2 linked regions of the Oreochromis niloticus genome follow. The main gene of each other region encodes a partner of the protein of the gene in region 2 in a complex. Links are inferred from orthologs where the notes say so. Each region holds a gene or a part of one and is shown on either strand. Other genes may lie near its edges.

Region 1 (12,377 bases), on a different chromosome or scaffold from region 2:
TTTAAAAGTAAACTTAATATTAGAGGGAAATTTAACTGAGTTTGCTTTACACGTGAAGATCAGTTTACTCATAATGAAGATTATTATTCAAGCCTGTGGGGGGAAAACACATCAGCTATAGCTGTGGGGGAGCCTTTAAACATTTAAGAGAAACCTTGTGTGACAAAACGAGTCTGGAGAGTTTGGAAGATTAGGGTATTTACCAGTGAGCGCCTACTTAAAGATGCAGCCAAGAATGCATCATGGGAAGTGTAGTAGCAGCTGTTTTAGGTTAGGTCATTCTTTCTTTGATCTTAGTTGTTCTCAGTTGGATTATAATGATTTGGGTCATTGTACATAACATGCATTAATTTCTTGTTAATTAATATTTACACAATAATGAATTCATGATTGTCATGAATTCAAAAGCTTTATTGCCTATTAATAAAAAGGATTAATGAAAAACTTTGTACATTCATGACTTTGACCATAAAAAACCTTCATTAGCCCTAAAGTGGAAATTAGTTTCTAAAATCTGATGCATACATTTAATAATTACACCTGATAGCTGTTTATTAAAACATATGTCTAATAAGCCAATCCAAAGGATCAAATGGTCCTTAAAATAACGTCCAATAATTTGCTGTACTTCCTCTTAGCACTCTCGCTGCAACATTTTTGAATCAACTAGAAGCTTTTCAGGGAGATAATAAAGGATTGCAAGAGTCCAGCCTAGAAGTAACAAATGTGTGGACTAGTTTCCAACCTCACACTGAAACAGGTTGTTTCTCATTTTTATTCCTCAGATGAAAGAAAACAGTCCAGCACATTTGTTTAATGTGGTGTTGAAGGACATATCCTGGTCATAAATGACTCCGGGATTCCCCACAGTGTTACCAGAGGCCAAGTTAAAGACATCCAGAGTAAATATCTGCTTAGACACCATGTTTCAAAGGTTTTCAGTACAATAAGCTCAGGGTTTTTTTTCCAAATGTACTATATTTTAATACTTAAAAGAATGTTTCGAAGGGTTTTTTTCTGGTTTTTTGCCAGTTTTCTCAGATAAAAAATTAGTCATCTGTGTTTTTACAAGAAGACAGAGTGCTTTAGTAATTTTCTTATATTTGCACCTTGTAATATTCTAGTAAGTTTTCTAGGTTATGTTTTTACTACTTCTGTCTGTCCAACTGAAGTATACCTGTCAGATCAACCATCACCACCTCCTTGTTGCTTTTTTTTTTTAAATTGGATAAATATTTAATTCATAAACCAGATAATTTGAAGATATTCTCTCCTATAACAGTTCATCTGTCCCCCCAAAAAAGAAGAACCCCTAATTAAGGCATGAAGTCTCCATCCCGTCTTAACCAATTTTCCAATTTAGGCCTATCCCAGAGTCCCGGTGCAAACACCAGAGTACACCCTTGATTAACCATCCAATAACAGAGTTAACATTCAAATCGAGCATGACAAACAAAAGGGTGGTGCCAAACAGGTGCTAGCTGAGAATTATAGGAACTGGTGATCCCCTTCTCCCACAACCACCTTTACAAACAGTGATGTGATGCAGTTCTCGGCTCTGTTGCCTCAAAGCAAGAAGGAGCATCCCTGAAACACCACAGCCTACCTGAGTATTGTTACTGACCATCTCTATCCCGTTATGAACACAGTGTAGCCATCATCTAATAGCACATTAAGACTCTGTTACCTTTACAATGACATGAAGTCAGAGATGTGCATTTAGGAAGAACCTGTCAACAAAGCTATAACACCTATGTAATACTGTCTGGTCTATATAGATGGAAATCTCAGAGCAAGGGTTCAGACTTCTTTTCAAATCGGTGCCACTAAAAGGATTAAAAGTGGCCCTAAAATCAGCAGATTTAGATTAACTAAAAGCCATGAAGCCATTGCAGAAGCGCCAATAAACTCCGGTGTTAAAATCCTCAAAATCTTCACAGCAAAAATTAACAACCTTGGCCTGACTGACAACAACAGGTTGTCCATGGCTGCAAACAAGCTGGAGACAGAATGCCATAAAAGGAAGAAATAACTAATTACTTTAAATGGAAAGCTAACACTTGTTACAGTGAAAAAGTAGCCTGATGCTATGGAGAGTAACATAACACCCAATACTTGTGCATACTTCATACTGCTGATGAATGTAGGTGTTTACACTATAAAAATGACATAAATATTTCAAGCTTTTTGGCTTCATTTAGTCTCCATATTTCTAAGTAGGGGATTAAATTTCACAGACATAGATGTCAGAGTCTCTGGCTACACACCAGTGATTGTGACCTAATATTTCCCTGCCTCCCTTCTTTATCCACACCAGGATTGATTCTATGTGACCCTATTACGAGTAAGCCTGAATGTAAAATGACTGAGTGAATGTAAGCGTGGAAGGATGTTAGAATCTCCATTTGTCTTCCTCTGAATGGGCTATCAGTAAACACCTGCTAATATCATCATATAGCTGACGGTGATGGATGAAAGTCATTCTCCTGAGATGGGAACAGTATGGCTGATTGGCCTCTTCCACACAGACGAGCATATTGACCAAAAATGACACTTTAACGAGCTCTTCCCCGTGTTAAGTGCCGCACGCCGGCCCCTCGTCGCAAGCCGCCGCCTGGCTGACCCTGGGCTGTGCTCTTCCCCCTGCACAGGGCCTACTCGCTTCATTGGCTGACAGATCAGACTGCCATGGAGACAGCTCATTAGTCGAATAATGAGAACCACACCAGCCACACGTTGTCTTGTTATATCATCTCGGTATCGACATATTTGTGGCTGAGGACAGAACATTGTGTGCCACTGTGTGCATGAAAGAGCCGATGATTAAGATAGAATTATGTGAGGTCTTCTGTTCATCTCTGAGTGACATCTGAGGAAGCCAGTGCTGCTTAACAGCTTCTGCCCGTTACAAATCAAAATCTTCTCCTGATTGCAACAATATGCCATACCTCCATTTGTCTTCCCTCTCTTATTAATCATTTCCCACAGTTTCTTTCTGCTGCCGCCAGCTCTGTGTTACAAATATTTCTCTGCAGTTTTGACCTTGCAATCTTAAACCCAGGCTTTCATTTAATTCTGTTATTACTGATGGACAAACTGTTGTTGGAATTTCATTGGTAGACAGAGTGAATGAGGCAAAACAGTATTTTAGATACCACAGCAATTTGTTCTCATACATCAGTTCTCTTTTCAGGAAGGCCATCTCTACGGTGTAGTTTGTCCGGGTTGTTCAGTCTCGCTCCAACAATCTAAAGACATGCACAGTGGGTTAAGTGGTGACTCTAAATTGGTTATAGGTGTAAATGTGAACAGCTGTCTGTCACTGTGTTAGCTCTGCAGTAGACCTAGCGATCTCTAACCGTAACATAACCACCTGACTTTCAACCGCAGATAACTGCCCCCTCCCTGTTCCTGATTTCTTCTTTCTCTGAGGTTTCTTTCTGTGAAAAGGGAGTTTTTCCTTCTCACTGTCACCAAGTGTTTGCTCAGAGGGGATCATTTGATTGTTGGGGTTTTCTCTGTATTATTGTAGGGTCTTTACCTTACAATAAAAAGTACCTTGAGGCGACTTTTGTGATTTGGCATTATGTGAACTGAATTGAATTGCTTTTGTTTTTATAAAAATTTCCTCTTTCACTTGTGTACAAAAAGAATTTTTGGTTATGACTGAATTCGGTCTGGATAGTGATGCCAAATGAATGCAATGATGCATCTGAGCTCAAGCTTTTTCAGCTTGAATCTGAGCGAAACAAAACCAAGGGGGAAAAAAACAAAACCCATGGCACATTTTTCAGTGGCTCAGAATGAGGCAAAAAGTGGGGCAAACTTGTTGGCGTGACTTCTTCTCTACGCCAACTGAGAAGCAGAGAGTTTGTTGTGAAGAGCTCAGTGTGTGGATCGAATTATTGTTTCATGGGTAAATATATTCCTCTAACGGTAGTTTCAGCATCCACTATAATCATGTAGTGCTACTCTTTGTCCAAATCCATTTCCTGTTCACACGCGTAAACATGGTCCATAATTACAGGCTGTGCAGATCTGCTGGCCACACATCTACGACTGCATCTGATAGGTCTGAGTAGCTCCATCATCTTACTTAGAGAACACTGAACGCTTAAAGACTGCTGAGCACATTGTTGCTTTCTACATCAATCTAACAGTTGGTTCACTTTTAGGGAGGGGTGGTTTTCTCCCTGGCATGAGAGCATCTGATACTCCTCACCTTTCACTTTTTTTACATTTTCACTCTCTGTCTGAAGGCATTTATACTTCTTGTGGGGGAAATTGTAGGCTGGGCCTTTGGTTTTAGTTGTTTCTTGTAACCAGCTGCTCTTTTAGAAGCCGTAGAGACTGATATTGCTTTTCTCATTTTCTCTGTCTGGAAATTACAACAAATAACAGAACACTGCGCTATTTCTTTAATATTATGTATACTCCATGACATCAGAAGTGCACCCAGTATACAGTGTTAAGCCACAGTGTATTTCACATCCAGAATGATGGCAGCCATCAGAGGTCAACAGGTATTAAACAGAGTATTTATGAGTACACAAGATGACAGTCAGCAATCCTTTAAAAGAAAGTTGGAGGACTAATCAAGACAAATCAGGCTCTGAGTATATTTGGAGGAGAAAGCAGCTGCATCATCAACACAATGTAATATTTTAAAGTTAAACAATGACGTTGTCCCCATGTTTTACACACAGAGCAGATTCACATGGTTTTACTGCCTTTTTCCACTTGAGGGCGATCTTGTCCACATGATGTTGGCTCTGTAGTTTTATTTTCACAGAGATCCCGCCTGCACTGGTAGCAAGGCTTTTAGAACTAACCATAAAGTAAATTTGATAGCTAGCAAAACAATATGGCAGCTACTTAAGGAACTGCAAATACACAGGAAGTATGAGGCAGAAAACCATCCCTCCCTAGTATAATCTAGGATTAGTTACATTAGGATGGATGGATGGATGGATGGATGGATGGATAGATGGATAGATGGATGGATAGATAGATAGATAGATGCCATCAAAATGGAAATAGTATTGGCCTATAGAACAATAAATGTATGAACAGAATATAAAAATATTGAAGAGACACCACAACATACAGTTAAATACAACAGTTGAATACAACATGACTTCTCTTGCTAGTTGCAGCCTTTATCACAGTATGTGCTCACATGTTATTTAACAGTGACACAGAGATGCCGTGCTGATCATTTGTTCTAATGAGGACAAACAGTCGACTTTAAAAAGCATCACTAAAAAAGGCCTGCATTAAAAATTGTTGTTTAGCAAATGTGTAAAATACATAAATTTGCCAAAAGTGTGATGAAAAATATCTCAGTAAGTAAAATAAACTACTTTAACAGAAGGGTTCCTGAGAGCAAGTAGCCTATGTTGAGATGAAACAGACAAATAATGCTGTTAGTGGCCAAAGTGGTGCTGACAATAGCCCCTCATTTACTCATTCAGTCTTTTTTTTTTTTTTGTCTGGATGAAAAGATTTGAATAATAAATCGATCCAGCTCTGCATGCAGGATCTATTTGAAGGATTCTTTGCTATTACAAACTGGATATTTCAAATCATGTCTTCACAAGTATTTTTTAAAATAAAAGAAAGAGTTGTATGCATGCTGTGATTTTTTTTTTTTTTTTTTTTTTTTAAACATTTTAAGTCATTGTCTAACCTCTCGGTCACAAGCTGCATCTACAACAATCAAGCCTCTTATGATGATATACAATCATGCAATCAACATTGTGGAGAGGAAGCTGATGAGACACATTATTTCCATGCTCTTCAGAATTTACATGTGCCAGGTTCTATAATTTTATTACATTTACTCATCTTAAATGTATTTATAAGTGCTTATATAATCAGTCTCTCTGGGTGATCATTGTCCTCTTGAGAAATAGAAAACTCAAGAGCTTTCTATGTAGGAGCCCAACTTGTGGTATTCCTTACTTAATTAAACTGAATCCCTTTTAAAGAAGAATCAGTACTGCTGTCATTAATAATCTGCAGCTCATTGTACTACAGCCCCGGCCTTGTACTTTGCTGTATATGTGGGTTTTTTTATATGACTTAATGTATTTATTGTATAGACTGTATTTCTTTTAAACTCTTGCATGTGCTTACAGCCTGAGTCTTTGAAATAAGTCAGGATGGATCCCTTGTTTTCCTGCTGTTTACACAAATTTTCTCTTTTTCAGACCATTCTCCTGAAACCCTGGAGATGCTTGTGTATGAAGATCCCAGTATTCAGACCAGTCCATGGCAACCATGTCATATTCAAAGAAATGATCTTTCTTGCTCTGCTTGAACTCCAATAGGTCATTTTGAGCATGTTTACATGTCTAAATGCACTCAGTTCCTGCTATGTGATTGGCTGGTTAGCAAGGTTATTATAGTCAAAGGAGCTTGCAAAGAAAAGCGTCTGGACTTCTTTAAGTTCTTCTTCTAGAAGAACTTAAAGAAGTCCAGACGCTTTTCTTTGCAAGCTCCTTTGACTACGATGACCTGGATGACTGAGAACCTTCACAGACAAGGTTATTATAATTAACTAAAACTAAATTAAAAAAAGATGTAAAAAAAAAATATATATAGCTTAATAAAATCAAAACTAGACTTTTGAAAAAATAAATAAAACTACCTCGAAAGAGGTAATATGCGTAGTTTTAATATCTGTTGGTTTGCCTGACGACGAGGCATTGATGGGCATATTTCTTCCAAAAGACAACTGCCTTTAAAAACGTATGTTTTTATTGTAAACATGTACTGATTTTCCTAAATCTTCCCTCTGCCATATGTCCTCCATACAGTAATAATAATAAAAAATAATAACAATACTGAAACAAAACTGAAACTATACTGAAGTAAAAACAAAAAATCAAAATGAATGAAAAATAAAAACTAATTAGCAATTGCAAAACTAATATTATATTATAAACTATTATAACTAATATGCTGAAAAAATATTCAGAGCAGTTGAACAAAAGTGTCCAGTGTGTGTGTGTGTGTGTGTGTGTGTGTTAATTCATGGAATATGTTTTATAATGTTTCGTGATTGTGTCTTTCGCGTGGGCTAACAGCTGCTCAGCATGTTGAGTATTATTTTTTATTATTCGGTTATTTATTCAAACCCTTCTTTACCTGGAGGACTCTTAGTTAAATACAATTCAAAGAGTGTAACGGCAGCCCTGTGCATTTACAATGTAAAACTGTAACTGTGGTCCTTTTTCTTTTTTTCACCCGTCTCTTCTTCCACAGCTGTGCGGAAGTGACACAGCAGGCGCGCGCCCGTCACGTCACGCGAGAAAGCACAGGAGCCGAGCGAGAAAAAAAAAACACCAACAAGAAGAATTACCTTCTTTTATTACCTGCGGATCAAACTGCTGTGATAGTCTGCGGACATGTCGCTGACGGTCCCGGGGGGAGGCATGGACTAGTGAAGGTGAGCTCAAACCTCTGGTCACGCGGGTTTTCGGTTAATTTAGCGAGAGTCGGGGCACAGGAGGAGGAATAGGACGGGGGTAGGAGGGAAGGTGGTGGGGGGGGGCAGTAAGGCAGGCAGTCAGTCGTCCACGCAAACGTTGCCGCGTCATTAAATTTCACAAACAAAATGTGGCGGTGTTATAGAAACGACGCGTAAATACGCGCAGTGTTTCTGAAAACACCAAGTTTGTGGAAGAGTTCGGGCCACACGGCGGCTTCGGCTCGTGTTGTGGTTCAAGGGTTCATGGGCGGAAGAATGAGGAAGTAGCGGGGTATGAACGCTGGAGGGGAGCTGGGAGGGAACTCTGTATGGAGGCATGCACCGAAAACGGGCTGACTTTAGGTAACAGGGGGGGTCAGAGCTGTGCAGGCATTAACTACGCGTTTATATCAGCCTCACGAGCCTGAGATAAAATACTCAGGCAAACACAGAGGTGTGTGTGTGTGTGTGTGTGTTTAGCTACAAGGCTGCAACCGGTCACATGGTGCTTGCTATGAGGGTGACACGCCAGCCACAACATGTATGTATTTTAACTGAAAACAGTAGTTTACCACTTTGATAACTGCTTTATAATCATCAAGCTCATTTTAGGCGTCATGTTTGTATTCTTTGACTCTACTAACATAGCTTTGCATGAATCACAGCTCAAAAAAATCATCATTAAATCTTTTATTTTTAAAAAAGAAGCATGTGCAAGAATGGTTACAGATAGTTAAAAATTACTCCAGTTATAGAGCATTGTGTTTAAACCGCAGAGATAACCAAGTGAAAATTGTGAAGTTGGAATGGTCCTCCTCTTTAATTATTCCATCCACTTTGTGTAATGCAATGAAATACCTGTATCACTGGCAGGACAACAGCCCCACAGCATGATGCTATCACCACCAATTGACATTTAGTACAGTGCTCTTAGGTTTGAAAGCCTCACCTTTACTCCTGCAAACATACCTCTTATCATTGTGACCAAATAGCTCATTCTTTGTCTCGTCGGACTAACTTACCAAGTTTTTCTCCAGAAGATATTTTGGCCAGCTGTAAGTTACAGTTAAGCTTGAAGGTGTCCGTTTTTGGAGGAGGGGCTTCTTTCTTGTTCAGCACCCTGTCAGTCCGTGTGGCTTCACTGTGGATAGTGATGTTAGTGTTTGCAGTTCATGGCAGGCTTAAGCCTCAGTGTTCCCCGGGTTGTTCCTGAACATCCAGACCAATTTCCTCTCATCTGTGGATGACAGTGTGGGCCTTCTTCCAGACTTTGCAAAGTGGTAACCCATATGAGTAAATTGTTCAAACAATCGTACAGTACAATTTACTCATCTGCAAAGCTACAATTGTCCTTAGATCTTCCTCTCTCTTTTAGGACACTTTTATCTGATTAGTTGCTAATTGTAAAGAGAAGGTATGAACAACAGGTGGACAGGTACATTAGCTAATTTTAGCGTTAATAACCTTTCCATGTAATTTATCCAAACCTAAGAATATGTGTATTACACACATTACTGTCACATTGTACACGTTGATGTATTAAGTGTGTGCATATTAAGTAACTTTCTGAATTTTTTATCTAGGCTATGAATTCCCGTGAGCATGGGGAAATCTCAGATGAAGCAATGCTTGAAAAAGGCAAGTTCTGCATTCTTATCTTTGCAACTGCAGCAGGAAAAATTCACAAATTAACAAAGTATGTTTTTATTTATTTTTATAGTGTATGCAGTAAAATAAATTATGCATTGTTTTGCAGAACACAAGCATGTCCAAGATTATAAGGAGGAGACGGAGGACATTGCTATTAGTGAACAACCTCAGGTACGTGGAAGAGGATCTTCTGGAGCTGCCGAGGCTGGGAAACGGTCATCTGCAGAGATGGGACCTGACGCAGACCAGTCCACTAGCAGCAAGAGAGTCAGGGTGTCTAGCGAGGTAAATGAAGCTCAACTCATGATTAAAACAATATCTTATATGTTATTACACATCCTTGACTGACATTTATTGTGTCTAGATGAGACGGCACTTGATAGACGAGAGCAGCAGGATTGAACCTCTTTGCCTCACCACAACCGGAGAGAAGAGAGACTGCATCCAGGAGAAATCTAGAGTCTCCTACAGAAAGCCTCTCTTCAGCATCTCCCACCGGATCTCGGAGAAGAGGAACACCCCGAGTCTGGAGCAGCAGGCGAGTCTTGGCAGCTTGAATCAGCTCAACAATATGCTCTCATCCAAGCTCCAAAATCCGGAGCAAAATGGCCCAGCAGAGACCATCCCCTCCACAGACACTTTAGGCCAAGCTTCCACAGCGGACTCCAGCCTTTATCCACTGATTGAGAAAATGTTTTTCATTCTCAACACTCTGAATTCAAGCATGACGCAGCTGCACAGTAAAGTGGACTTGCTGACGCTGGAAGTCATGAGGATAAAGAAGCAGATCAAACCGGCTGAGATGGTGACAGAGTTCCAGCCTCCCCCCGAGTATCTGCTAACCAGCGATGAATTGAATCAGCTGATGGAGCAGACGTCAAGCGCTGGGGAACTGGGCTGTCGACTGCTTGTGCATCTGTTCCCAGAGCTGTTCAAAGCCAGGGAGTGTTCTCACGACTGCATGGCGAGCAAAAGAACGCTGGAGTCTCTACATCTGCAGCTTATTCGAAACTATGTCGAGGTGTGCTACCCCACGGTAAAAAACAACAACGTGTGGCAGGAAGAGTGCCTCCTCCAGATTAATGACTTTTTTAATCGCTTCTGGGCGCAGAGGGACATGGAAAGCGCCCGGCTGCTCAGGAAGCAGGCGGTCACAGGTGGTGGCGTAAAAGCGGAGCAGCCTCAAACCTTTCGTTTCATTAATGAACAGGGTCAGGAGGAGCACATATCTCTAGATCACCAACAGGGCAGCCTGGCTGGTTCAGATGTCGGGTTTGGTACACAAGCCACAGAGGAGTTGGATGAGTTCTCCTCCCCAGAAGACTTTGTTGTTTTCCTAATTCACCGTCTCTTCCCTGAAGTTTTTGAAGAGGGGAAAATACCAGAAGACTGCGGCAATTTTAGTAGTGTAGGACAGCTAATTCTGGACTCTGACAAGATGGACATAATTAGAAAGTATATGGAAGCGAATTTCCCTGATGTGCCTGAGGACAGCTGGCTGCAGGTGTGCATTCAGCATATGGAAGACGCACTCGAGGGTCCTCACAGTAACGGCAACGGGAGTGAACCGGACAACATCAATGAGGAGGGCTACGAACTGGCCAGTCTTCCTGAAGATGTTTCAATTATCAAGGTTCCAGAAGTGAGTGAATATGAAAGACCCAGTCGCAAGTCTAAAAAGTCGCTGCTCACGCCTGTAGATTTTGACAATCTGGAGATTCCTCTGCCTGACTTTACTGTTCCCCAGGAATACATCCTGTCCAGGGAACAGCTCAAGAGCAACTATGAATGTAGCTTGTCTGTTGGGAACTTTGCCTCTCGGTTGCTGGTGCTCATGTTCCCTGAGCTCTTTACCTACGAGAACGCTAGAAAGCAGTACAACTGCAGCGGTTCTCTTGGGAAAAAGCAACTCGACCCCATTCGCGTAAACCTGATCCGTCATTACGTGCAGTTGGTCTACCCCCGGGCCAAGAACGACAGAGTGTGGATGTTGGAATTTGTTGGCAAACTTGACGAGCGGTGCAGGAGACGTGACACGGAGCAGAGGAGATCCTACTTGCAGCAGCGCAAAGTGTACGGTCAGGAGACAGAGCAGGACTTTCTCTGCCAGCTGAACCAGCTACATCCTGATAACGGCAGACAGGATCCAGATATTCCCTCTTTACCTCCTGAGAAAAGTAGCAAAGACTTCTGCAAAATACCCCTTGATGAGCTGACTGTGTCCAAACCAGACTTCCCTGTTCCCTCCATCTACCTGCTCTCCGATACCGAGGTACGGGAAATTGTCCAGCAGAGTCTCTCTGTTGGGAACTTTGCCGCCCGCTTGCTGGTGCGCCTCTTCCCCGAGCTCTTCACCCACGAGAACCTGCGGCTGCAGTACAACCATTCAGGCGCCTGCAATAAGAAGCAGCTCGACCCTGTTCGACTGAGACTGATCCGTCACTATGTGGAAGCCGTGTATCCTGTGGATAAGATGGAGGAGGTGTGGCACTACGAATGTGTGCCAAGCATCGACGAACGCTGCCGGCGCCCCAATCGCAAGAAGTGTGACATTCTTAAAAAGGCCAAGAGGTCAAGCACTGTGTCCTAGTTACAGTACTCTGCAGTTACCCAACACTTTCTGTCATAAAAACAGTTGCACAGTATATAAGCTGAAATCGCATTGTTGAACTTCTACACACTGTCCTCTGTAGGAAGAAGCCAAGCTGTTGCGAGTTTCTTTAGTAGTATTCTTACTCATATTTTACCTTTTTGGCTACAGCAGTAGATGTTCTAGTTTATGTAGTCTTTATTATTGTTCGATAAAAAAGTTACAACCGCTCCTATTTATAAGCCAAACATGTCATAGCTTCTCTAACATACTCTGTTGATAAATGTTGTAGCCTTATAACAATAATAATGATAGTAGCTAACAGCATAGATCACACATTTGCTCTATGAACAGAAATCAAATCACAAGGACGTGATATATTTCCATCGCAGTTACTGATGTAGCATCGTGCCACCACTGTTTTAATAACTATGTGCTTATGTTAAGCCTTCTTATAGAAGTTTATATTATAAAGATAATTTAACATGACAATGGCTCATGATAACCAGTTTCTAATAAAACCACAGTTATAAATGTGACATACAATCACACTGTTTTACATAATCGCACCAGAGCAAGTTCAACAAACAGAGCATAGCTTTTCTTTATCTGGTTTCACTTACCCGTTAGGCTAAGAGGTCCCCTGAAGGTGATTATCAACTT
Region 2 (11,868 bases):
TTATAGAAATGGAAATCGATACCCGGCGCTCAGTCGGAGCTCTGCAGCAAACACGCGGAGACAGCACGCGAACGGAAGCAGCGTTTAGTTTGACACATGTGTCGCTGTGGAGCCGCCGAGCTGCTTCTAAAGCGACGAAGAAGAAGTGATGTAAACAGGAAGTTGGGCACGTACGTCCACAAAAACTGTCGTGTCGAATATGTGGATAAATATGAAATTCAGCAAAAGCTGTTGAATACAGAGGAACTGCCGAAGTTTGCTTTAGTTTAATCTCGGGACGTTTTTCTTAGTTTGGGGATTTTTCGCTGTTTTTGGGCCGTTTTCCGGTCATGTCCGGGTCAGTGAACCCCACAGGAGAGATGAGCAACGCGCAGTTATTCCAGCAGGTAAATCAATTTATTCTGTTGTAAAATAAATGAAATGTAAACTTTTATCACAGCGTGTGTCACGGTGAATTAGGCGTGGCTGAAACGGTCCAATCAAAACGAACAAAAAGACTTTTAATAAGAACAAAGACAATTTGATTATTCAGGAATCTTTATAGGTTTCTGTGAAGGTTCTCAGTCATCCAGCTCATCGTAGTCTCAGGAGCCTGGAAAGAAAAGCGTCTGGACTTAATCAGAGAAGCTTCTTCAGTTCCAAGAACAATTGGTCCCACATTTGAAACCCCGTGGGAGGGTCCCTAACAGGGTCATGGACCTTGTAATCTTTACAGGTGCAGGCTCACAGGAACATCAAACTATCAACAGAGTCAAATTAAAATCTAACTCAGCTGAAAGGAAATACACAAATACTCCTGAAGACACAGGTACACCTGAGTACACCTGCAGCCCTGCAGGTGTATTCAGGTGTTATCCTGTCCCACTTCCTTTACCGCGGTCAAGTGAGCCGTCATTTGTGACCCGCGGTCAAGCCATCCGCTTCTTATGTATTATTGTTGTGTAAAAACACAACAATAATACAAAGAAAAGCCCAACAATTTAATTACCCCATATAAGCTAACATTTAGTGAGAGTGGGAAGGAAAAACTCCATTTGAAGAGGTAGAAACATCTGGCAGAAACAGGCTCAAGGAGAGACAGCCATCGACTGTGACTGACTGAGGTTGGTGGAAATGAGACAGGACAACATATACACTGTGCAAGAGAGCAAGAGATACATACTAACTAATGATTAAATGCAGAGAGGTGTATAAACACAGATCGAGCAAAGAAGGAAAAAATTCATACATCACGGGAAGCCCGCAAGAGCCGAGGCTTATTGCAGCACAAATAAGGGAAGATTCAGGGTCACCTGATCCACTCTGACTGTATTATTTGTCAAGACTGAAGGTTTTAATGCTAATAACAAGAGCAGAGACGGGTGTTTGTCTTCTGAATTAATATTGTGAGCTGCATCCACAGAAGAGAGGCCTGAGAGATGAAGACTCTGATTCCCGTTCAACCTTAAAATTCTATAGGAACCACAAGTACACCTGATATTCCAAAATTAAAATCTGGATTTCAAAGCAAGTCAGTGAAGACAAGCAAATATGGCTGAAATATGCTGTCATGACTCTCTCAGCAACACTTTTGATCCATTAATATTAAACAATAATTGATGCAGCGGATTGAGATGAAACCTGGCCCAGAGGTACAGTAGGTGTCCCAGAGGAAGAATGTGTTGAAAGCTTGGCATCAACTATTAAGGAAGATTTTTAATGAATTTTTGAATATGCAACCCGACTGTCCCGCTTTGGGATGTCCCAAAGCATTGTATGCATGCGTGTGCATGTCTGAGTCCGCGCGCGTGCACGTGTCACTGCTTGCGCGTGTACTTGTGCGCAGGTCTATGCTTTCGATCAGGAAATAAGGAGAAAAGGCGCTGCCGTAAATGCCGGTGTAGAAGCGCAAGAAAATTAATGCGACGGAAAAGAGGCGGCTGGCTTGACTGCGGCTCACAAATGACGGCTCACTTGACCGCGGTACTTCCTTTCACACAGGCAGCAGGTACACGCTTTAGGTCTGTCAGTCTGTCTGTCAGCAGCTCTTTTATACCCGGAGTTAAACCTGAAGTCACCTCCCGATCCACAGTCCAGGCCTCAGCCTCTGTACACCAGCGTGTTTTTCATCCAATTCATTTTTAAGTTCAGTCCCTGCTCCTGATTGGCTGCTGAGGCTCACCTGCACAGAGGGATTCTGTGTCTTTCTCCATCAGCTCTGTCTTTGGTCTAGTTTTAAGAGTTTACGGGAGAATCTGTTCATCTTTTTCACTTTTTCGTGTTCATAAAAACACCTGTGGCATGTCAGCTGGGTTTACAGGCAAAAACTCTGTGATTGGTTCTCATCGTGTTTCCTGCAGGTGGCGCTGCTGCGATGGTTGAACTCTCAGACTGAGGAGGACCGGAGGATCTTGGCGGCAGTGACGGGCGTCCAGGTCGGCAGAGAGCTGCTGAATCGGATCACCGGCCAGGACAAAGTTGATGCCTACAAGGTACAGCGGGGGGCGCCGATCACATCCGCCACTCTGCTCGCGTCTCATTTCCTCACGATGAATGTCGTCCTGTTTTGTGTCCTCAGCGAGACTGTGTCCTGAGCATTGCACAGTTCCTGCGGCAGAACCCGCGAGCCTCGCAGGCGCAGATCAACGCCGAGGTGGAGAAGAACGTCCTGCTGTTCGCCGCTCGAGTCAAAGCTCTGGAGACAGCGCCGATTCTCTGAGTTATTCTGTGAACGCTCCACATTTCCCTCGAGTGTGCTCGCTTCATACTTCAAACCTTTGTTAGTTTGTGTTCTGCTTGTGTTGTCTGCTGAGGCCATGCTGAGTTCAACGAAAGCTACAGGATTTGTTTCCACATGAAGAAAAATCTGTTTCCGCCTGTGACTCTTCACAATAAAAGCTCCAGCTAATTCCAAGCCTTCTGTGTTCCGACTTGTTTACAGAACAATAAGTTCTGCACTTATTCAGATCTTCAGATTTTTATTTCTGGCGCACAAAGTTCTGATTGAGATTTTTGTACATGAGTTTCAAATGTCTAGAAATCTGGAAATGTTACATTCTGCATTCAAAGTTTAGTCATCAACTGTCTTTTACTGCTGAGGTTCATTATTTATGAGTCCTTCTGCAGAATGGGCTGATTTTAAAATCCTGATTGGAGTCAAACGTCCTGGGCTGCTTCCAGACAACAGACTGTATATTTATTAGTCCTTTATTTATCCAGGTAAAAATCTCATTGAGATTAAAAATCTCATTTCCAAGAGAGACCTGGCATCATGGCAACAAAAGTCACATACCACATAGGTATATAACATTCAAAACAAATACAATATCCCATACCAACATGTGTAAAATATACAATAACAGATCAAATTAAGAGTACATTAAAAACAATCACACTGAGTAAAAGAGCTGTTCTCTCGTTCCTTTAAGACAGACTTAAACTCTCCTGAGGTAACCAATTCTGATCATTTCAGTTCCTTCTGCAGATTATTCCAGGAAGCAGGGGCAGCGTATTTAAAAGCCTTTTTCCCCAATTCTGTTCTGACTTTTGGGACAATCAATTGTATGATATTGTGCGAACGAAGGCTGTATTGGTTGTGATTTTTACACATATAAACACATAAATAAGATGGAACCAGCCCAAGGAGAGATTTATAGATAACGAGCAACCAATGGGAGAGTCTGCGAATATGCAAAGATGGACATTTAGCAGCAGCATACAAAGAACAATGTTGTACACGATTTCCATAGCCAGTAATAAAACGTAAAGCACAATGGTACACAGTATCCAACCTCTTTAGGTAGTGGGCAGGTGCATTCATAAAAAGCAGGTCACCATAATCCAATAAAGGTAAAAAAAAAGTTGCATGAATCAAGTGTTTTCTCACTTGGAGGGAGAAACAGGATTGGTTTCTAAAAAAGTAACCTAGTTTTAGTTTGAACTTCGACACAAGCCTTTGAATGTGAGTCTTAAATAACAAATTCTGATCTATAATGATCCCTAGATACTTGTAAGATGTGACCATTTCAATTTCAGTTCCTTGAATTGTTTTAATCTTAGGAGACGTAGCTAAAACAATTCAAGGAACTGAAATTGAAATGGTGGAAGTCACCCACTTTGAATGAACACATAGGGAACACACCTGAGACTTGTTCTTGGTGCTCAAAATATTCAGGGTGCCACATATGCACTCTTGGTGTGCAGTGCACACACTCTTCATATGATCCTCTTTTCAGACTAACATTTACAAAATAAACTCTGTATTTCATTCATTAAGACCTGAAAGTGTTGACTGAGGTCACAGAGGGAGCCGAATGCTGCTTTCCTTATGGGAGTCTTTAAGCCAGGGGTGTCCAAACTTTTTTCGCTGAGGGCCACATACATAAAAATATAGGAGGGGCTGGGCCACTTACTAGAAATTAGGTATATAACCTTAACTTTACTGTATTAAAAATCATTTAAAAGTGGTCAAATGTGTTATATTGTTGAATATAATTAAAGACAAAACTGCCTTCATCACAGTTTTCCATAAATGGATCTTTATTGATTTATTCAGAAAAAGCTTTGGTAGCTCATTCTCAGAACAGCAGCAGATTTCTTCTTGGACAGAAGATTTACAGCACAGAGAAAAAACAAAAAAGGGGAAAATGGGACGGGTACATTTCAAGTTTGTTATTTAAGTTATTAGGCTTAGCAACACACCTGTTAACGTTCGTTTGAAACGGTTATCAACATTAACAGACTGAACTGGACTTAATAACAGGAGTGCATATAATTTTAGTCAATTATTCTGGTGAGTATCAGCTGCGCTGGGTATGTAAATCGGGCCATCCAGCTGCGGTGCTGATCGTGGCAAAAATCCGGACAAATGTCACTTGACCAAGGAGCAAATCTGCATCAGATGAGATCAGCTGACTTGCGTGTGCGTGCGCTGTGCACAGCGGTGTTTACTCTGTGTGTTAACAAGAAAAACGCATATAAGAAAGCGGTGCGCAAAAGCAGGGTAGTGACAGAATTGATGCGCATTATTGATATTTGAAGCATGTGTACCTGCACATTAACACACGGGTACTGTGGAAGATATTTTTACTCACCTAAAGTGCTCGTGCTCTCGTCCACTCCTCGCAAAGAAATTAGCAGCTGTGCGGCGTCTGTGGCATCAGTGCTCTCATCACATGCGATGGAGTAAAAATCAAAAGCACAGCTTTATCACACAGTTGCAGTTTAATGTTGGCTGACGAGTCTGACGTTGTTGAAGTCCTGCACTTTTTCCGGGCGCATTATTTCGGTGACTTTAACGAGGCAGTGTTTTATGAGGTCTCCATCTGAAAAAGGCTTGCCGTGTCTTGCGATGAGTTGGGCGACCTCATAGCTGCTATTGGAGCCCTTTCCTGGACAATTTGAGCACGAAAAAAAAATACTGTTGCTGACCCTGCAGGAGAGCTAGCATTTGCTTTAATTTCTGCTCTCGCTCAGCACCAGTGTAGGATGCATAGGCCTGATGTTTGGTTTCATAATGACGTCGTAAATTATACTCTTTCATAACTGCCACAGTTTCAGCGCAGATCAAACAGATACACTTCCCCATGAATTCTTTGAAGAAATATTCACTCTCCCACCTTGTCTGAAATTTTCTGCATTCACTTTTTATCTTTCGCTTCTTTGGTTCTGCCATGTTTAGTAACTTGAGAGTAAATTTCTTCTGTGATTGTCCTTTTTGGTGGAGCAACTGCCTTGATCAACAGCAGCTCCCCCTGGTGTTAAAACTAAGAAGTGCAATACACTCAAGCAAAAGTTGGAGTGCGGGCCATATTCTATTCAATTTATAAAATTACTTGCGGGCCAATTAAAACTGGACCGCGGGCCGCAATTGGCCCGCGGGCCGGACTTTGGACATGCCTGCTTTAAGCAATAAGATGAGTCGCCCCCTGCTGGCCATTAGAAAGTATCCAGGTTTAAGCTTCACTTTCATCTTTAACAGTTATGAGAGTCTAAGACATTTTTATTTTTAGCTGTTTTACATCAAAAACTCAAAAAGCTCAAAATAAACAAAACATGCTTTTAAGTCCCGAGAACATAACATCAGAGAGGAGAGAAACAGTCGGCTTTACCCTGTCCAGCCAGGAAGCATCAACCATGTCACCTGCACATGTGTGTGTGGAAGGAATTTTTTTTTTCAGTAATTGAGGGTAGACAATGGATGAAATACGGCGTTTTCCAAAGCTCGAATTTCGGTGATATTCCCTGGAAAACCTCAAACTGAACTGCTGCGAATGTAAACGTTTTCCTTCTCGCGCGTGTTGCTCGGCCGCTCATTGGCTGAACGTTTACTGGGGTCCCGCCTTATAGCACTCACCACCGCTTCTCCGATTGGATAACGTAGTCGTGACGTCCCCAAAGCGTCATCTCTGATTCGCTGTGACAAACCGGTGGGGGATGATCCTCGAGTTTAAACATAGAAACAGGTGGCGGCTCCTCGGAGAGTTCGGAGTTTAGTTTGAGGACAAATAATCGTTAAAGTCGTAGCTTCGAGCAGTTTGTAGGCGGAGGTACAGCTGTAACGGCGGGATGGACGGGGCATACGGTACCGGAGAGGTTTCGCAGATTTCGGAGAAGCTGGAGAAGTAAGTAAAGCTCGAATCGTTAGCGAGCGGCTAACAGGCTGTGCCGTCTGAGGTCCTGTTCAGGGTCCGAAACACCAAACATGCCACCGGGATAAAACTCACGGTACTGGGACCGTGGAGCGCGTGTCGGGGGCTCTTTTGATTGGTGGTGGAGAAACGGATGGAGGACAAATTAAAGGCAAATCCGAAAGGACAGTGAGCCGCTCGGTGTTTACGTTACTGGCCTCAGATATTTGGGTGGAAACCATCTGAGACTGTTACACTTGAACCTGTAGTCCACCCGTCAGGTGAGTCTACCTGTGAGCACCTTCTCTGCTGAGCTTTCAACGTAATCAGCCATAAACCTGAGAAGGTTTTCACACAGACGCTTTAGAAAAGCTCAACCATGAGAACGAGAGCGGCTATGAGTCAGATCTGATCTGGGGTTTTTAAAGGAGACGTGGGGGGAGGCCGCTCTGTTCACAGCTGCAGGTAAAAGCCCGCAGGTGTGAACATGCAACTGAAACCAGAATCAGAACCCTTTATTAATCCCTAAGGAAATGATGTGGGTCACAGTTGCTCCAAGACAGTAACAGATTAAACTATTTAAGCAGATTTATGGATGTGTTTTTTATTCCTGGAGCGAAGGCTTCAGGTGTTCTTCAGGTGAGGGTGAATATCTGGTCCTGTGGCTCTCTGAGTGGACTCTCAGGCTAAATATGTGGGTGTGTGAACTCTGAATTGCTGCATGCTTTCGGTCTGACACTTGGTACCTGTAATGGGAGGTGGTGTTACAGTCAAGCAAAAATCTCCAGATCAGTGAAACTGAATGAGAAGCTTCATTGTTTGTGGTGCTTATTTATCGGTTTGTTTGATTTTCACTCCGACTCTCTGCAGGTCTTTGTCCATCGACACAGAAGAAAGAATGGAAACTTACCACAGGTACAACACACACACGCGCACACACACACACACACACACACACTACTAATCTAATGCAATGACTCGTCACGTCATTTGTGGCTGTAGGTGAAGGCAGGATTTTCTTTGTCCTGAATCTGGGATCAGTAACTGTTCAGATGAGTCGCTGCTCTGCAAAACCCTGAAGTAGACCAAAGCCACGTTCTTTCACTATTAATGTGTGACGATCAGATTATGGCTGCCACGATTAGTCCACTATCAAAATCATCGACTAATTTAATAGTCGATGATTCGTTTGAAGTTTTGTAAGATCCTGAAAGACGCAGGAATAAGTAGTAGGATTTAAGAGTGTAATAACGGACTGAAACAGAAGATGCCAGCTGCCGTTAAACACCAAAGAAGAAGAAGCAGTCTCCGATATCGTAGCTGTGTCCACATTCAGGGGCTGCATCCTCCTGAGGCCGCATTTGTAGGCCGATTACGTTACAGCGGTGTGACAAAGGCTGTCCCAATTCGTAGACTCTGGGGTCGTGTCCAAATTCATGGGCTGCATCCTCCTGAGGACCAGGAGCGGATCTAGAAGGGTGGCATGGGATGGCAAGTGCCACCCTAAAATGATCCCTTGCCACCCCAAGTGCCACCCCAGTTTTGCATATGACAGTGTTGTTTATTAAAATAAGATAGCATTAACAGTTTGAGCGTAGTTACAGTCAACAGTGAATATAAATGCTAAAACTGAATATATTGCAGAGTGCCCCCCCCTGCACCATTAACAAATGGTTCAGCCCATATCAGGACCGGCTTTTTTCTTGTTTTCAGTAGCAAGCGATGCTTATGATTGTGCCAGAGCACATTTTGAACAACACCATGGGAATTTCAGATTTTACACAGGTGGTTGGATGTTACACTCTGGAAATGGAAGGAAGGTGAGTGTTATTAACCCTCTGTGGTCCACGGACACGCTGCACCTCCAAATCACATGACTGATGTAAGCTGACACAGCAACAAGCTGCAGCCACACTGAGTCTCTATTTCAGCCCACGTTGAAAGTTCGGACTTCAAAGTTTTTACATTTTAATTACAGGCCAGTAAATCCAGAGTTATGATAATATATATAAGCCACGCTTTTTACTAAATACTGTCGTCACGTTTTTGTGTGTGTGTGTTTTAAGCGTTTTCTAAGGACAGCGAGAAAACAGTAAAGAAAGGGGGGGAAAAAAGCCACCTCTTTCCTATCGGTGGAAAAATGCACCATGTCAACCAATTTATTAAAAAGTCAACATGTGGGATTTTGTTGTTTAGGAAGGGGGGGGGGGGGAGAGAGAGCTTAGTGTGTTGTGTTGTCTTGTGTAGTTGTTCTGTTGTGTAGTCGTTTTGTTTTGTGTGTCAGTGAGGGCACTAATGATGTCACTAAGGCACATTTGCAACGTAAACACTGTCACTAAGTAGAAAACCAGCGGAGTGATACACCTGCTGTTGTCAGGCCTGCAGGTTTGTCCCTGTGCTGCTCTCCTCTGTCTTTTGGTGGACAAACTTTTTTTTTTTTTTACTGGCACACATCATTTGTGGGGCATCTTATTGCGACACCTGATTGTTCTCTCATTTTAGTTTTAGTAGGGCTGCACGATTAATCGTTAGAAAATCGCGATCTCGATTCATACATATGTGCGATCTCATTTCCAAATGACAACGATTTAAAAAAAAAAAAAAAAAAAAAAAGACGACGACGATTGTACCGCATTTTGATCCGGGACGTAATCTGCATGAAAACAAGCGCTCACCCTTCCTGCTCAACAAATGACAAGGGCGGAGCCTTATACCACGTGATACAGAAGCTGTGCCGTGATGCTCAAATTGGCAGGAAAAAACAACGGAGAACACGTCAGGGATGACGAGAAAGTGACAGGAGAAAATCCGTCCCGGTCAACCACCCAAACATCAATAACGGGAACCTTATACAGCGCTTCCCCATAGCCGTCGAACTCCCGCAGGCACAAAGAAATTACGGAGGCTATCACTTATCACCTGACCAAAGATATGGCTCCCATCAACACTGTGCAAAACGAGGGATTTAGGAAAATGATCAACACCCTAGACAAACGCTACACAGTGCCGTCACGCAACTATTTTTCAAACGTTGCACTACCTGCTCTATACACGCAGTGTCGAGCAACGGTGGAGACGGAATTACAAGCAGTACAACATTTTGCAGCAACGACAAAATGTGAGACAATTATTGTTTTTATGTTTATTTATTGTTTTTATGTTCAGTCTCAACTGTTACGAAGTTGATGTGCAGTTAATAAGTGCAATAAATATTTATATTGGAAAAGAAAATCGTGAGAGAATCGTGATCTCAATTCTAAGCAAAAAAATCATGATTCTCATTTTATGCAAAATCGTGCAGCCCTTAGTTTTAGTAATATTTTTAAATGGTTGTGCAAAATGAAAAAACGGCAGGTGTATTGGCTGCATTTTTAGATAAATAGTTGTATATGTTTACAAAATGTACAATTTATATTTGCATTTCAAGTTATATAAATTTACTCAACATGTCTGTGGGGTTTTTTACAGTAAAGAAATACTACTAGGATTTTAAGTTCTTTGTGTGATTTCAGATCAGTAATACTAATGCAGTATGTCAGTGAAAAAACAACTAAATTCAGTTGAGCTGAAACGATACCAAACAAGGCAAAGGGGGAAAAATAAAATGAAACAATTTGAGGGTGAAATACAAACGTAAACTCAAAAGGAGTCAAAAATGTCCGGTTGTATTTCAGACCTCAGAGGGTTAATCCAACAAATCATGAAAAATTAGGTTAAAGTTTTTGTTCATGACAGTGCAGATTTCTGACATTTTGTGTAATTTAAGCTGTAACAATGTGATTGTTTTCACAGTGTGAAACTTAAGTTAGACTTGTGTTTGTAAATGAACCGCCCCATGTTGTGTAGCTTTCTGGATTTTATACTTATTGGGCTCCATATTTATTTATTATACAGCCTATACAGTACATAAGATCAAAACTCACATGTTTTTAACTAAAGTGTGTAATTATGTGGGCTACAGACAATAATTAAGTTATAGACTATATTTATATGAAAAACGTGTATACTTACTGCATTTGAATTATTTTAACCATATGTAACCACCTGCATATGTGTTTGAAAAAAAAGCCTTGATTTTGCCACCCCATTTGATTTCTTTGCCACCCTCTTGCCACCCTAAGAAAATTTCTCTAGATCCGCCCCTGCTGAGGACCCGGCCTTCACGGTCTACGTGGGCCGGGTCCTCAGAAGGTCAGGTAGGCCGGAATTAAACAGCTGTGAAATTGGACGGTCTAGCCTTCTGATTAACGTCACCGCTGTCTCGGTGGAGTTTAATAAACTCAGCCGCCTGCTCCTTGCTATCTAAATTATAACAGGACGCTGGCGTAAATTCTCGACCGTCTCACACTTTTGTTTAATTGGTTTTCTGTTTGACGTTTATTCAGCTGTGTGAAAATCCCGGAGGAACCCACCCGGGGGATTAATAAAGTTTTATTTTATTTAATCTAATCTAATCACTTTAATCTCAGCCAAACCGATTTACTGACGAACAAATAAAACACTGAAAAAAGCCAAACAATATCATTTCTAGGTTGTCTAAGTGACTTATATATTACGTTTAACCTGAGTAGCGAAAGTCCGTGGTGATCTGAAAATGATGTGCCGGGAGTTGTGCCGTTCTCGGCGGCTTCAGTGACCCTCGAGCTCTCCGTTTGCTATCAAGCTGGTGGGTAACAGACGTCTCCGAAAACGTCGAAGCACTTTTGCAAATATGCGATGTCTTGATAAACCGAGCAGATATTTGAAGTTTACACAGCTACATTCTCGCCTGAAAATATGTTAAAAGTTTATTTTGTGACCCAGAAAGATTAATAAAAGTAATTTTAAAACTTAGTAGCAGCCGCCATTGTTGGAAACTGGAGTTTGGCTGGGCCGCGCTATGAATTCTGGGATATGGTGGGCCACGAAAGACACACATGGCCCATCCTTCAAATTCAGGGAAAAGGAGGACGCATTTGTCGGCTGCATTCGGAGGAGTCTATGAATTTGGACAGCCTTCGGCGCGTCGCTGTGACGTAATCGGTCTACAAATGCGGCCTCAGGAGGATGCAGCCCATGAATTTGGACACGGCCTGGCTGTGTCCCAATTCAGGGTATGCACGCTTGAAGTACGCACACTACGCGTGTGCGTACACTACAGCTGTGTCCCAAAACGTCGGCTGCATCCTTCGGAGGACCCGGCCTTCGGTCTACGTGGGCCGGGTCCTTCGAAGACCGAGAAGGCCGGAAGTGCGAGGCTGTGAAATGGGACGGTCTAGCC

What was found.
Region 1: the proteins of ercc6l (region 2) and bend3 are in contact, whole or in part, in a crystal structure (PDB 5JNO), measured with the Homo sapiens proteins. The link is inferred for Oreochromis niloticus from reciprocal best matches to the Homo sapiens genes ERCC6L and BEND3. Residues at the interface, in NP_060139.2 of Homo sapiens: Ala10, Glu11, Ala12, Leu13, Ser14, Pro15, Glu16, Ala18, Ala19, Tyr21, Leu22, Arg23, Lys26, Phe51, Pro52, Asn53, Glu54, Lys55; in NP_001073919.1 of Homo sapiens: Glu252, Gln255, Ile256, Gln259, Leu261, Asp265, Arg269, Val272, Gln273, Pro276, Phe279, Ser280, Phe335, Arg338, Phe339, Gln342, Glu346.

What each region holds. Positions count from the first base shown.
Region 1 is NC_031983.2:24,803,107-24,815,483, forward strand, and holds bend3 (BEN domain-containing protein 3), read left to right. Parts: upstream 1-7,274; 5' UTR 7,275-7,453; intron 7,454-9,057; 5' UTR 9,058-9,060; coding exon 9,061-9,112; intron 9,113-9,230; coding exon 9,231-9,409; intron 9,410-9,488; coding exon 9,489-11,714; 3' UTR 11,715-12,253; downstream 12,254-12,377. UniProt on the Homo sapiens protein: Transcriptional repressor which associates with the NoRC (nucleolar remodeling complex) complex and plays a key role in repressing rDNA transcription.
Region 2 is NC_031977.2:38,168,490-38,180,357, reverse strand, and holds the start of ercc6l (DNA excision repair protein ERCC-6-like), read left to right. Parts: upstream 1-6,371; 5' UTR 6,372-6,546; coding exon 6,547-6,602; intron 6,603-6,634; exon of another isoform or gene 6,635-6,889; intron 6,890-7,478; coding exon 7,479-7,523; intron 7,524-11,868. Other genes in the region: uncharacterized protein LOC100698890, read left to right, coding at 330-386, 2,340-2,471, 2,558-2,698. UniProt on the Homo sapiens protein: DNA helicase that acts as a tension sensor that associates with catenated DNA which is stretched under tension until it is resolved during anaphase. Functions as ATP-dependent DNA translocase. Can promote Holliday junction branch migration (in vitro).